Callithrix jacchus: one gene and its partners. The protein of the gene in region 2 binds, or shares a complex with, the protein of the main gene of each other region. Links are inferred from orthologs where the notes say so. Each region holds a gene or a part of one and is shown on either strand. Other genes may lie near its edges.

Evidence for each region.
Region 1: MED7 (region 2) and MED20 share a complex: the UniProt entries of both Homo sapiens proteins name them as parts of the mediator complex. The link is inferred for Callithrix jacchus from reciprocal best matches to the Homo sapiens genes MED7 and MED20.
Region 3: MED7 (region 2) and MED16 share a complex: the UniProt entries of both Homo sapiens proteins name them as parts of the mediator complex. The link is inferred for Callithrix jacchus from reciprocal best matches to the Homo sapiens genes MED7 and MED16.

What each region holds. Positions count from the first base shown.
Region 1 is NC_133505.1:50,414,808-50,418,453, reverse strand, and holds part of MED20 (mediator of RNA polymerase II transcription subunit 20), read left to right. Parts: intron 1-2,573; coding exon 2,574-2,827; intron 2,828-3,646. UniProt on the Homo sapiens protein: Component of the Mediator complex, a coactivator involved in the regulated transcription of nearly all RNA polymerase II-dependent genes.
Region 2 is NC_133503.1:19,917,953-19,922,209, reverse strand, and holds the start of MED7 (mediator of RNA polymerase II transcription subunit 7), read left to right. Parts: upstream 1-1,389; 5' UTR 1,390-1,434; intron 1,435-4,257. Other genes in the region: GARIN3 (Golgi-associated RAB2 interactor protein 3), read left to right, coding at 14-1,174. UniProt on the Homo sapiens protein: Component of the Mediator complex, a coactivator involved in the regulated transcription of nearly all RNA polymerase II-dependent genes.
Region 3 is NC_133523.1:820,052-823,697, reverse strand, and holds part of MED16 (mediator of RNA polymerase II transcription subunit 16), read left to right. Parts: intron 1-1,029; coding exon 1,030-1,240; intron 1,241-2,555; coding exon 2,556-2,689; intron 2,690-3,536; coding exon 3,537-3,646. UniProt on the Homo sapiens protein: Component of the Mediator complex, a coactivator involved in the regulated transcription of nearly all RNA polymerase II-dependent genes.

The DNA of each region.
Region 1 (3,646 bases), on a different chromosome or scaffold from region 2:
CATGTGCCACCATGCCTGGCTGATGTTTTTTAACTTTTGGGTGGGGTCATGGGAGTGTCTTACTATGCTGCCCAAGTTGGTCTCAAACTCCTAGCCATAAGGCATCTTCCTGCCTTAGCTTCTCAAGTAGCTGGTCTCAAACTCCTTAGCTCATGGGATCTCCCAGCATCGGCCTTCCAACGTGCTGAGATGACAGTCTCAAAATCCTAGCCATAAGCCATCCTACTGTCTCAGTTTCTTAAGTAGCTGGTCTCAAACTCCTGAGCTCAAGGGATGTGCCCACGTCGGCCTCCCAAAGTGCTGAGATGAGAGGCATGAGCCACCATGCCTGGCCCTTGTGCTCTTTGAGTGCTGTTTTGTGCAATTTGAACTCTAAAAGCAATGTTTCTCAGAGGGTTAATCACTGACTAACCACATCAAAATCACCTGGAATACATGTTAAGAGTTGCAGATTCCTGGCCCTGTTTACTGATTGACTGCTGCTTAGGCCACATAATCCACATTTAACAAACATCCAGACAATCCTCATGCACTCTGAAGTTTGAGAAAGACAGGTCTCGGGCCCAGAAGTCTTTATTTATTGTTTTAGAGCTTTAAGAGTTTCTAGAAGTTTCTGTTTACCTATACCTAACCATTGGCCTTGGCCTCCTTACTAACATAGCATAAATTAATTGTTCTCTTTAGTGTATTGGGTGGTGGGATGGTCTGTGGATGATGGGGGATGGTGGTTGGGAGGGAGAGAGGATTTTTTTTTTTTCTTTTTAGAGTGAAAGACTCACTTCGTTGCCTGGCTATACAGTGGCATGATCCCAGCTTACTGCAAGCTCTAACTCCTGGGCTCAGGCCATGAGAGAGACTCTTTGGATATGAGTTAGGGAAGTTGTTTCTCTTAGTCTTGGCTCTGCAGTAACTTGATCTTGAACAGTTCCATAGCATAGTGGTTATGATTGGGGAGCCAGAGTCCTGAGTCACGGCTTTGCGACATACTAATTGTGTACCTGTAGGTAACTCCTATAACCTATCTGTGACTGTTTCCACGCCTCTCATGTGCCTGTTTCCCTTAGATCCATTTCTTTCACTTCCCCTGCAAGCTGTATTTTCCAGGCCCTCTACTAGTTGGCTTTGGTTATTGAGAGGTGCCGAAGAAGATTAGAGGACGGAGGTTACAATGAGCCAATATTGCACCACTGCACTCCAGCCTGACGACAGAGTGAGACTGTCTCAAAGAAAAAAAAAGAAGAAAAGAAAAATGTTATTGTCTTTAATACTAGAAGTGCCTTTTTCATTAAACACACACAACCCTTCCCCTTAGTTGACTTTTAAGATATTTCTAAGACAGTAACACTTGCAGACTCATATGGTATGAATAAAATATGTAATTACAGTGAGTAGACATGAGAACAGAATGATGAGATCAGCTTTGGATGGATTTTTTTCTTCAGAGTCAAGAAGTTTTGAACTGGATTTAGAAGGAGGTGACAGGTGGGAACTGTCAGCAAGCAGTCAGGAGATGGGATGTGGCCTGGAGGATCTGTGTAGAGCCTGCTGTGTTCATGAACAGCAGCTTATATAGGGAAGTCACATGCCCTCTGTTCCCCCACCCCCACACCCTTTTCATTCCCACTGTCTTGCCCCCTGCCTAGAATGTCTTCTTTCCTTCCTGTGGCTGAATCCTACCTTCTCTTCATATCCCAGTTCAAATCATGGTAGACAAGACCTATCACAGCTTGGCTCCCGTCTACCTTCCCCTTACTGCTTCCATAGGACCATTTACTAGCTCTCAAAGAGGGAGGAACCCAAGGTGAGGAGGAGTGCACAGAAGAAGGGAGCAGTTGCTTCCTTTGTCTTGCCCAAATGCTGTTACTTTCATTTTACTTATTGAATGTATGATAATATACAAAAGAGTATATGGAAAGTCTTTGTAGACTTGGAATTAGACTTTACATATAGACCATCTGTGAGCCCACCACTCAAGAATTAAACCACCGCCAGGTGCGGTGGCTCAAGCCTGTAATCCCAGCACTTTGGGAGGCCAAGGTGGGTGGATCACGAGGTCAAGAGATCGAGACCATCCTGGTCAACATGGTGAAACTCTGTCTCTACTAAAAATACAAAAATTAGCTGGGCATGGTGGCGCGTACCTGTAATCCCAGCTACTCGGGAGGCTGAGGCAGGAGAATTGCCTGAACACAAAAGGTGGAGGTTGCGGTGAGCCAAGATCGCGCCATTGCACTCCAGCCTGGGTAACAAGAGCAAAACTCCGTCTCAACAAAAAAAAAAAAAAAAAAAAAAAAAAAGAATTAAACCATCATCAAAACTATTAAAGGTCCCTGTGTGCCCCTCACTGTTTTCGGTAGAGCACGGTGGATTTTACCACATGCTGCCTCTCCTGCTATTTCTGTCCTTACCTTTCTAGAAAAGGCTGCAGTGAGAGGATTCCGCTCATGCCCCACCACGACTGCCTAGGTAGTGCCAGATTGCTATCTGGCCTCATTCCGGGGGGATTCATTTGCTTTACTCTGGGGTTTGCCAGTGAAAGTCTTGATGATGAGCAGGATCTCTGTCCCTTGCAGGTCAGACCGGGAAGCTGATGTATGTGATGCACAACTCAGAGTACCCATTGAGCTGTTTTGCCCTCTTTGAGAATGGCCCTTGTCTTATTGCTGACACCAACTTTGATGTGCTTATGGTGAAGCTGAAGGGCTTTTTCCAGAGTGCTAAGGCCAGCAAGATTGAGACCCGGGGCACCCGGTACCAGTACTGTGACTTCCTGGTGAAGGTGGGCACGGTCACAATGGGGCCCAGTGCCCGGGGCATCTCTGTGGAGGTAAGACCTTGGTGAAAATAGGAGCAGGATATGCTAAGGGGGCTGTTTGGTAAAGGGCTCTGAAGATTTTCCAGTCCTTTATTTTGTTTGAGACAGAGTCTTGCTCTTTCACCCAGGCTGGAATGCAGTGGTGCAGTCTTGGCACACTCCAGCCTTGATTTCCAGGGGTCAAGTGATCCTCCCACCTCAGCCTCCTAAGCAGCTGGGACTACACCCACCTAATTAAAAAAATTTTTTTTCAGGCTGGGTGTGGTGGCTCACGCCTGTAATCCCAGCACTTAAGCTGAGGCTGGTGGATCAACTGAGGTCAAGAGTTGGAGACCAACCTGACCAACATGGAAGAACCCGCTCTCTACTAAAAATACAAAAAAAAATTGGCTGGGCGTGGTGGCACGTGCCTGTAGTCCCAGCTACATGGGAGGCTGAGGCAGGAGAATCACTTGAACCTGGGAGGTGGAGGTTGCGGTGAGCTGAGATCGTGCCACTGCACTCCAGCCTGGGCGACAAGAGTGAGACTCCGTGTCAAAAAAAAAAAAGTTTTTTTTAGTAGAAATGAGGACTTACTATGTTGCCCATGCTGGTCTCAAACTCTTGGGCTCAAGTGATCCTCCCACCTCAGCCCCCTAAAGTGCTGGGATTATAGTTGTGAGCCACCACACCTGGCCGTCAGTCCTTCTCAATTTAGACAGATATTTACCTGATCTCTAACTCCAAGGCATCTGTGCTGCTTCTCTGTGAATCGTTTATAATTTCTTTGATTATTCAGAGACTCTCTAACACAAGATGGGAAGTGGGAAGCGGGAAGCGGGAAGCTGGGTT
Region 2 (4,257 bases):
CCCCTTGGTACAGGCTGCAGAGCTCCACAGAAAAGGGGATCAGAGTGAGACTGGGCTTCACAAGTCTTGTGATGTATCTGCAGTCACCTCTTCTGCTTATGCTGGGGGAGAAGGAATCCAACATGCCTCCCATGGAATGGCTGCTGAAGGAGCAGCAGCAAGGACAGCAGGTGGCATGGCAGGAACAACAGGCCCCAGAGCAGGTGTGGCAATAGCAGGCACAGCAATGAGTCCTGCAACAGGCGCTGTGAGCATAGCAGCAAGCAAACCTGCAGGCCCAGGCCAGGTGACCACAGCGCTGGCGGGAGCAGCCATCAAAAATCCGGGAGAAAATGAATCCAGCAAGTCCATGGCAGGTGCTGCCAACATATCCTCAGATAGTATGAACTTGGCCTTGGTGGGTGTTGCAAGCACCTCCTTGGCAGGTACTTCTTCCACCACGATGGCGGGGGCCGCCCATCTCTCCCAAGACAGCAGCTTGAGTATGGCATTTGCAGGCAGTATGACGACAGGCAAGTGTGTGGCAGAAAGAACTCAAGGACCAGCATTGGGACCCCTCGTGTCCACCTTGCAAAGCGAAGGCTACATGAGTGAACGGAATGGAAGCCAGAAGCTTTCCCAGCCCAGTGCTGAAGCCTGGAATGAAAAAAAGGAAAGAAGAAAAAAGAAGGACAAACGTCCCAGTAGGAAAAGTTCCCATCACCGCAAGGCAGGTGAAAGTCACCGCAGGACAGCAGGAGACGAGACCCAGAAAGCATCCTCCCACCGGTCTATATCCGGCCATAAAAACACGAGAGATGACAAAAAAGAACAAGGGCGCAGCAAGGTAAGGGGCAAGGGACGTGGCTCCTCTCGCAAGAGCTCCAGCCACAGTTCCACCAAAAAGGAGTCGAGAACAACTCACAAACTGGGGAAGAACCGATCCACATCTAGTACAGGAGCTTTAAGTAAGAAACCCAGTAAAATCATGTCTTTTTTAAGGAGCCTCAGGGCTACTGCTGGTTCAAAAACAAGGGTCACATCACACGACAGAGAGGTAGACATCGTGGCTAAGATGGCGGAGAAGCAAAACATAGAGGCCAAAGTGGAGAAAGCCCAGGAGCTGGAGGTGATCAGTGGCACTGTGACATCCAAGATGATGGAGATGACCATCTTTGAAACCAAATCCATTTAAATAGGAGCCAGGGCTACAACTCCCAGGGATCTGGGAAGTATCCCTAGAGAGCCCATCCCAGCTTTCTTTACTGCAGTTTAAATAATAAAGGAAATCATACAACCCCTAAATAAATAAAATCTCCTGTTTGAATTTTTTCTGCCCCATAGCCTGGCAGTGACTTCACAGTGGCTTCTGTGATGGTGACCACATTACAGCCTGAGACCCCAGCCTCCAGGCAGGTAGAGCCCTACCACCCACCCAGGCCCAGCAGAGCCAATGTGAGTGTTTTGCTTTGCCTCAACCCCTTTCTGCCTTTGCTTCCCCTAGACTGTCAAAGTCACAGATTAAGAGCTGGATGCACCACCACCACGTCCCCATGCCCATTCTCTTCCCTGAATGCTCCTGAACATGGACATTCAGTCCAGTCCATAGACTAGGCAGAGACAGGATTCACATCCCCTCAGAGGGTATTCAGGGGAGGAAGGAGCAGTGCAGCAGCATTTGTAGGCAATTAGAATAGGAAATCTATGCATCTAGATCAGGAATTGGCAAACCATATTCTGAGGTCCAAATCTTGCCAGCTGCTTGGATTTGTAAATAAAATTTTACTGGAACATAGCCACAGCCATTCCTTTGCATATTGTCTATGGCTGCTTTCACGCTAAAATGACAGATATGAGTAGTTGCAATGGAGACCATATGGCCTGCAGAGTCTAAAATATTATCTGGGCCTTCACAGAAAATGTGCTGACTCTTGATCTAGTCTTAACAAGTCTTCCTCCTAGGTGTAGACAGTGGAGAAATTCTCACATATGCTTGCCAGTAGACAACTAGGAGAATGTTTATAGTAAAACAAATTGTAATAGCAAAACCCTGGAAATCCTCAAGTGTTCATCAAACAGGAGAATTAATAAGCTATGAAATAAACTACAGTGCATAATCTACAACAGTGTAAATGAATAGCGGCTATTAGAAAGGATACATTTTTTTTGTTTTTTTTTTTTGAGATAGAGTCTCAGTTTGTCACCCAGGCTGAAGTGCAGTGAGGTGATCTTGATTCACAGTAATCTTGGCCACCCAGGGTCCAGCAATTCTAGTGCCTCAGCTTCCAAGTAGCTGGGATTACAGGCATGTGCCACCATGCCCAACTAATTTTGTGTATTTTTAGTAGAGACAGGGTTTTGCCATGTTGACCAGGCTGGTCTCAAATTCCTGACCTCAAGCAGTCCACCCTCCTTGGCCTCCCAAAGTGCTGGGATTACAGGCATGAGCTACTGTGCCCAGCTAGCATGGATAAATCTCACATAATATGGGATACTAAAAGCAAGTCACAAAAATATATATGATATAGTTCAATTTGTAGAACAGTTCAAAAATAAGATTCAACTATGGGATATATATTTGCTTAAAGTATAGAGAAAAACAAGGAAATGATAATCACAAAATTCAGGATATGGATAAAAAAAGGAAAGAAGAGAAAGGGTAAAGGGAGAGATGTCTGATCTGGGAGGCACACACAAACAGCTTCAACAGAATCATGATTATTCCATTTCTTAAACAAGAGGGTGTATTCATGGAGGTTTGTTATTGTGTCTTTATTTTAACATCTCTGAAATCAGGATTGTTTTTAAATCACTTCCAGCAAAGTGTCAATTGTATGTCACTGCCTTAGAAACGCCCTATCCAATTTATTTCACCAATGTTTTCCTTTTTACACCCACACAAGAGAGATTTATGACAAAAAAAATCTAACTCTGAAAGACATCTTTCAATAGGTACGAAACAAAAATTCTAAGTAACATAAAAATATTCAGAATATAGAAACATGGAAAATGTTTAAATGTATTAAGAAATAAAATAGTCCAAAATGCTGTGTACTAACATGATGTAAATTATGTGTTCATGTGGAAGTTAATCCCTAGAAACGGGATTGTAAATTTTAAAAAGTTTTATTGTAAAAAAAATTGTCTTTCCATTAAAAAAAAAAAAACCTGTAAAATGAATCCATGAAAAACATTACAGTATTAACATCAGATAATAAAAATTCAATTTGAGAAAAATGATTCTGGGAGCCATGTGTGTTCATGTAAGTCCAGGAGGGGAGCAACTGCTCAGCCTTTTGAGTCTTTGCTCATTCTCTGCAGCAGTACCTTGGAGGACAGAAGTTGAGTTTCTGGCAAAACTTAGGGACTTTCTCTGAAGACCAAATATGTGTAGTGCAGATGGAGGAGGTGAGAAGCAAGGTATTCTGGGAGGAGTAGTGGCCTGTCAGTATCAGGGGAATCCCTTCTCAGTTGCTCTGGTGGGCGGCTGGAAAATCTCACCTTGTGGCTTTCAATAAAGACCATAGAACCTGAGATTAAGATGTTCTGGGAGTCGACTCTTGAAACAGTGGATACAGTTAGATGGAGAGAGAGAGGCACACACTCAGAAGTCTGAGAGGGCCTTTGGGAAAGCCACACAGGAGTGTGACAGGTTGGCAGGTGGGGTAGAGGAGAGAGATAAAGCGGAACTCCTGTCAAAGCCTTTGGTCTGGAGTTCCAGACTTACAGCTATGCCAGAGTCTGAATTATCCTAGCTACAAATGGCTTAATCTCATAATTGTGTAGACCATGGCTTTATCTTTTGTTTTCCTTCTAGTCTTGTTTTATGCACCCTCCCCCGTCTGAAGGGGAGGGTGCACTCTCTCCATCCTGTACAGCATGAACATAGTTCATCCACCATGCAGGGTGTTAGCTGAGCAGACCTCCAATGTACACAAATGCAACTTAAGTAAAGTAGAGGCGGGGACTTGCCCACCACAGCATGCTCTGCCACGTACTTTGCTGCAATTCCTTTTCTATCTTGATACTTCATCAAGAGAAAGATGCATAAATATGTATTTCAAAGCAACAGGTCTCTTCCTCAGAGGGAGATGTCAACTGGGGCATCAAGTCAATACCCCTATCAGATAAAAGACAATGTTTTTAACAGCAATATTTGTCACCATGGTAGCAATTCTGCCGCTGCAAGTGTAATGAGAGTAGATGGCTGATTACTAACCAATGTTCCAAACTTAAAGTCTGGCGTTACACACATAAGCACAAAGATGACAAACGGAT
Region 3 (3,646 bases), on a different chromosome or scaffold from region 2:
GGCAGGTGGGGCTGTCCCTGTGGCAGGTGGGGTCCCAGGCAGGTGGGGCTGTCCCTGTGGCAGGTGGGGTCCCCAGGCAGGTGGGGCTGTCCCTGTGGCAGGTGGGGTCCCCAGGCAGGTGGGGCTGTCCCTGTGGCAGGTGGGGTCCCCAGGCAGGTGGGGCTGTCCCTGTGGCAGGTGGGGTCCCCAGGCAGGTGGGGCTGTCCCTGTGGCAGGTGGGGTCCCCAGGCAGGTGGGGCTGTCCCTGTGGCAGGTGGGGTCCCCAGGCAGGTGGGGCTGTCCCTGTGGCAGGTGGGGTTGTCCCTGCAGTAGGTGGGGTCCCCAGGCAGGTGGGGCTGTCCCTGTGGCAGGTGGGGTCCCCAGGCAGGTGGGGCTGTCCCTGTGGCAGGTGGGGTCCCCAGGCAGGTGGGGCTGTCCCTGTGGCAGGTGGGGTTGTCCCTGCAGTAGGTGGGGTCCCCAGGCAGGTGGGGCTGTCCCTGTGGCAGGTGGGGTCCCAGGCAGGTGGGGCTTTCCCTGTGGCAGGTGGGGTCCCAGGCAGGTGTGTTGCCCTTGGGATAGCCAGGGGCTCTGTGGTCAGTGAGAGGCCAGCGGCAGGGAGAGGGGTCCCGTGGAGGGTGGGGGAAGTCCCTGCAGCAGTCATGGAGGTCCCTGTGGCAGATGTGGTAGCTGGTGGGGGGGGTCCCCATGGCAGGCAGGGGCTCCGTGGCAGGTGGAGGGCAGAAGGGGCAAGTAGCCTGCGGCAGGTGAGGCTGTGTGTGGGGTGGGGTGTTTCCAGAGGCCCGTCCAGTAGAGTTGAGCCTGAGAGAAGCACTTGCTTTCCCTCCTTACCTGGGAAGGTTCCTCTTAACACATTAGGCCTCTTTTGCTGTGAGGTTGCTGAGGTGCAGAGGCTAAGCAGCTTGCCCAGCTCACCCAGCACCTGGTGCCAGAGCCTGACTGCCCTTCTCCCCAGCTGGAGCCTTGGCGGGCACCTCTGCCCCAGCCCCTCGGGGTGACACCGGCTTCCTGCTCACACCATCCGCCTTCCAGGTCCTCTCCACCCGGATCCTGGCCATGAAGGCCTCGCTCTGCAAGCTGTCCCCCTGCACGGTGACCCGCGTGTGCGACTACCACACCAAGCTCTTCCTCATCGCCATCAGCTCCACCCTGAAGTCACTGCTGCGCCCCCACTTCCTCAACACGCCCGACAAGAGCCCCGGAGACCGGCTGACCGAGATCTGTGCCAAGATCACCGACGTCGGTGGGTCCCGTCCCGCGCCCCAGCCTCGGGCTCCTTTCACCCTTTACTTACTGTATTATTTAATCTTTTGAGATGGAGTCTCGCTCTGTCGCCCAGGCTGGAGGGCCGTGGCGGGATCTCTGCACACTTCATCCTCCACCTCCTGGGTTCAAGGGATTCTCCTGCTTCAGCCTCCCGAGTAGCTGGGATCACAGGCGTGTGTCACCACGCCCAGCTAGTTTTTGTATTTCTAGTAGAGACAGGGTTTCACCATGTTGGCCAGGCTGGTCTCGAACTCCTGACCTCAAATGATCCCCATGCCTTGGCCTCCTAAAGTGCTGGGATTACAGGCGTGAGCCACCGTGCCCGACCTTTTAGAGACAGGGTCTCACTCTGTCACCCAGGCTGCAGTGTGGTGCCTCTGCCTTCCATGCTGTCTTCTCTCCCCAGCCTCTGGAGTAGCTGGGATTACAGGCGTGCGCCACCATACTCGGTTTTTAATTTTTTGGTTTAACTATTTAGGGTCTCACTGTGTTGTCCAGGCTGGTCTTGACCTACTGAGCTGACGTGATCCTTCCACCTCTCTCCTGGGGGCCAGGCTGCTGCTCCTACGCTGGGACCTGACACCTAGTCCTGTGGGGCAGGTCCGCTCCTCCCCATTTGCCATAAGGGGACTGAGGCCCAGAGAGGCTAAGCAGCTTGCCCAGGCCCGCCCAGCACGTGGCATCCCACTCACCTCAGCCTCCCAAAGTGCTGGGATTGCAGGCGTGAGCCACTGCATCTGACAGGCTGTTTCTTTCAAAATTGGGGTTATCATTTACTGTAAAATTAGAGTATCCAGTTCTCTATAGGCACATGGCACTCCCAGTAGCTGGGAGCGGTGTGCGCATTCGTGGTAGTTTCTGTGGGGCCACCCTAGTCGCCATCCCAGAGGTACCTGCTGGGTGTGTAACCATCGCCAGGTGTGGGGTGGGGGTGGCTACAGCTGCACAGTGTGGACATGTCCTGCGTTCACAGAGCCCACCCCGAGCAGGGGCCAGATGTGCACCAGTGGGCCGGGTCAGAGCAGTGCATCCCTGGCATGGGGACCTGCCCACCCAAGGTCTGCAGGCCGAGAGAAGCTGGTTGGTGCTGAGCACAGCGGCCCCCGGGGTGGGCGGGCAGTGAGCTCCCGGTTCATCTCCATCAGGCCATGCCATCACCCGCGTCTCATTCCCAGTGTGGGCCCCCGCTTGCCCGGCACTGGGTGGGTGCTCAGTGCAGGACTGTGGGGAGCATTTAGGTCACCCCGTGTGTCCCGGAGGCCCGGCCTGACCTGAACCGCATCTCCTTGCAGACATTGACAAGGTCATGATCAACCTCAAGACGGAGGAGTTTGTCCTGGACATGAACACGCTGCAGGCGCTGCAGCAGCTCTTGCAGTGGGTGGGCGACTTCGTGCTCTACCTGCTGGCCAGCCTGCCCAACCAGGTGCGCCTGCCCTCCAAGGCCCCGCCCCTCACTAGGGCCCCGCCTCCCTGGCCCCGCCCATGTCCGTGTTCCACCTCCCCGGCCCCGCCCCTCAGAGGCCCCACCTCCCAAGCCTTGCTTCTCAACACCGCAGCCCCGCCCCTTCCTGGAGCCCCACCTCCTGGCCCTGCCTCTTCTCAAAGCCCCGCTTCCTAGCCCGCAGCTCCTGAAGCCCTGCCCCGCCCTGGAGCCCTGTCTCCTCCTTCCTGCCCATTCTCAAAGTCCCGCCTCCCAGGCCCTGCCCCTTCTCAGCCCCACCCCTACTCGAAGCTCCTGCTCCGCTGCCTCCCCCCCCATTACCCTCCCCAGACCCCTTCACCTGGGGTAGGCGGCTTTGAAGTCAGGAACTCACTGCAGGCCCCAGCAGGCTCGGTCCACTCCCCCACCTCCAGGTCTGCAAGCTGGGCACCATCCTGCCCCTGTCTTTCCACCGTGGCCGTCAGGCACAGTTTGAAGACCCTCTGCTCTTTGTGGGGCTTTAGGCTGCCAGGGGCCACCCCCTGGAGCCTCCCTTCCCTGGTCCTCTGGCCTCCCAGTGCAGCCGCGGTGGTGGGAGGGGGGGCACTTAGCTGTGGGAGGGTCAGCTGCTCCCCCGAATGTGGGTAGGGGTGTTGGCGTCAGCGGGAGCCTCCTCTCGGCCCTGTGGACTTTTGGGTCAGGGACGGGATGACTCTTCAAGTCCTGACCTCCACAAACGTCCCAGACCCTGCCCATCGCCCCCAGGCCGGGGTTCTACGCACCCTGAGATTCATCCCCTCACCATCTGCTCCCCGCTGCCCCTGCCATGCTGGGCGCCTCTTTCCTGCAGGGCTCCCTGCTGCGGCCGGGCCACAGCTTTCTGCGGGACGGCACCTCGCTGGGCATGCTTCGGGAGCTGATGGTGGTCATCCGCATCTGGGGCCTGCTGAAGCCCAGCTG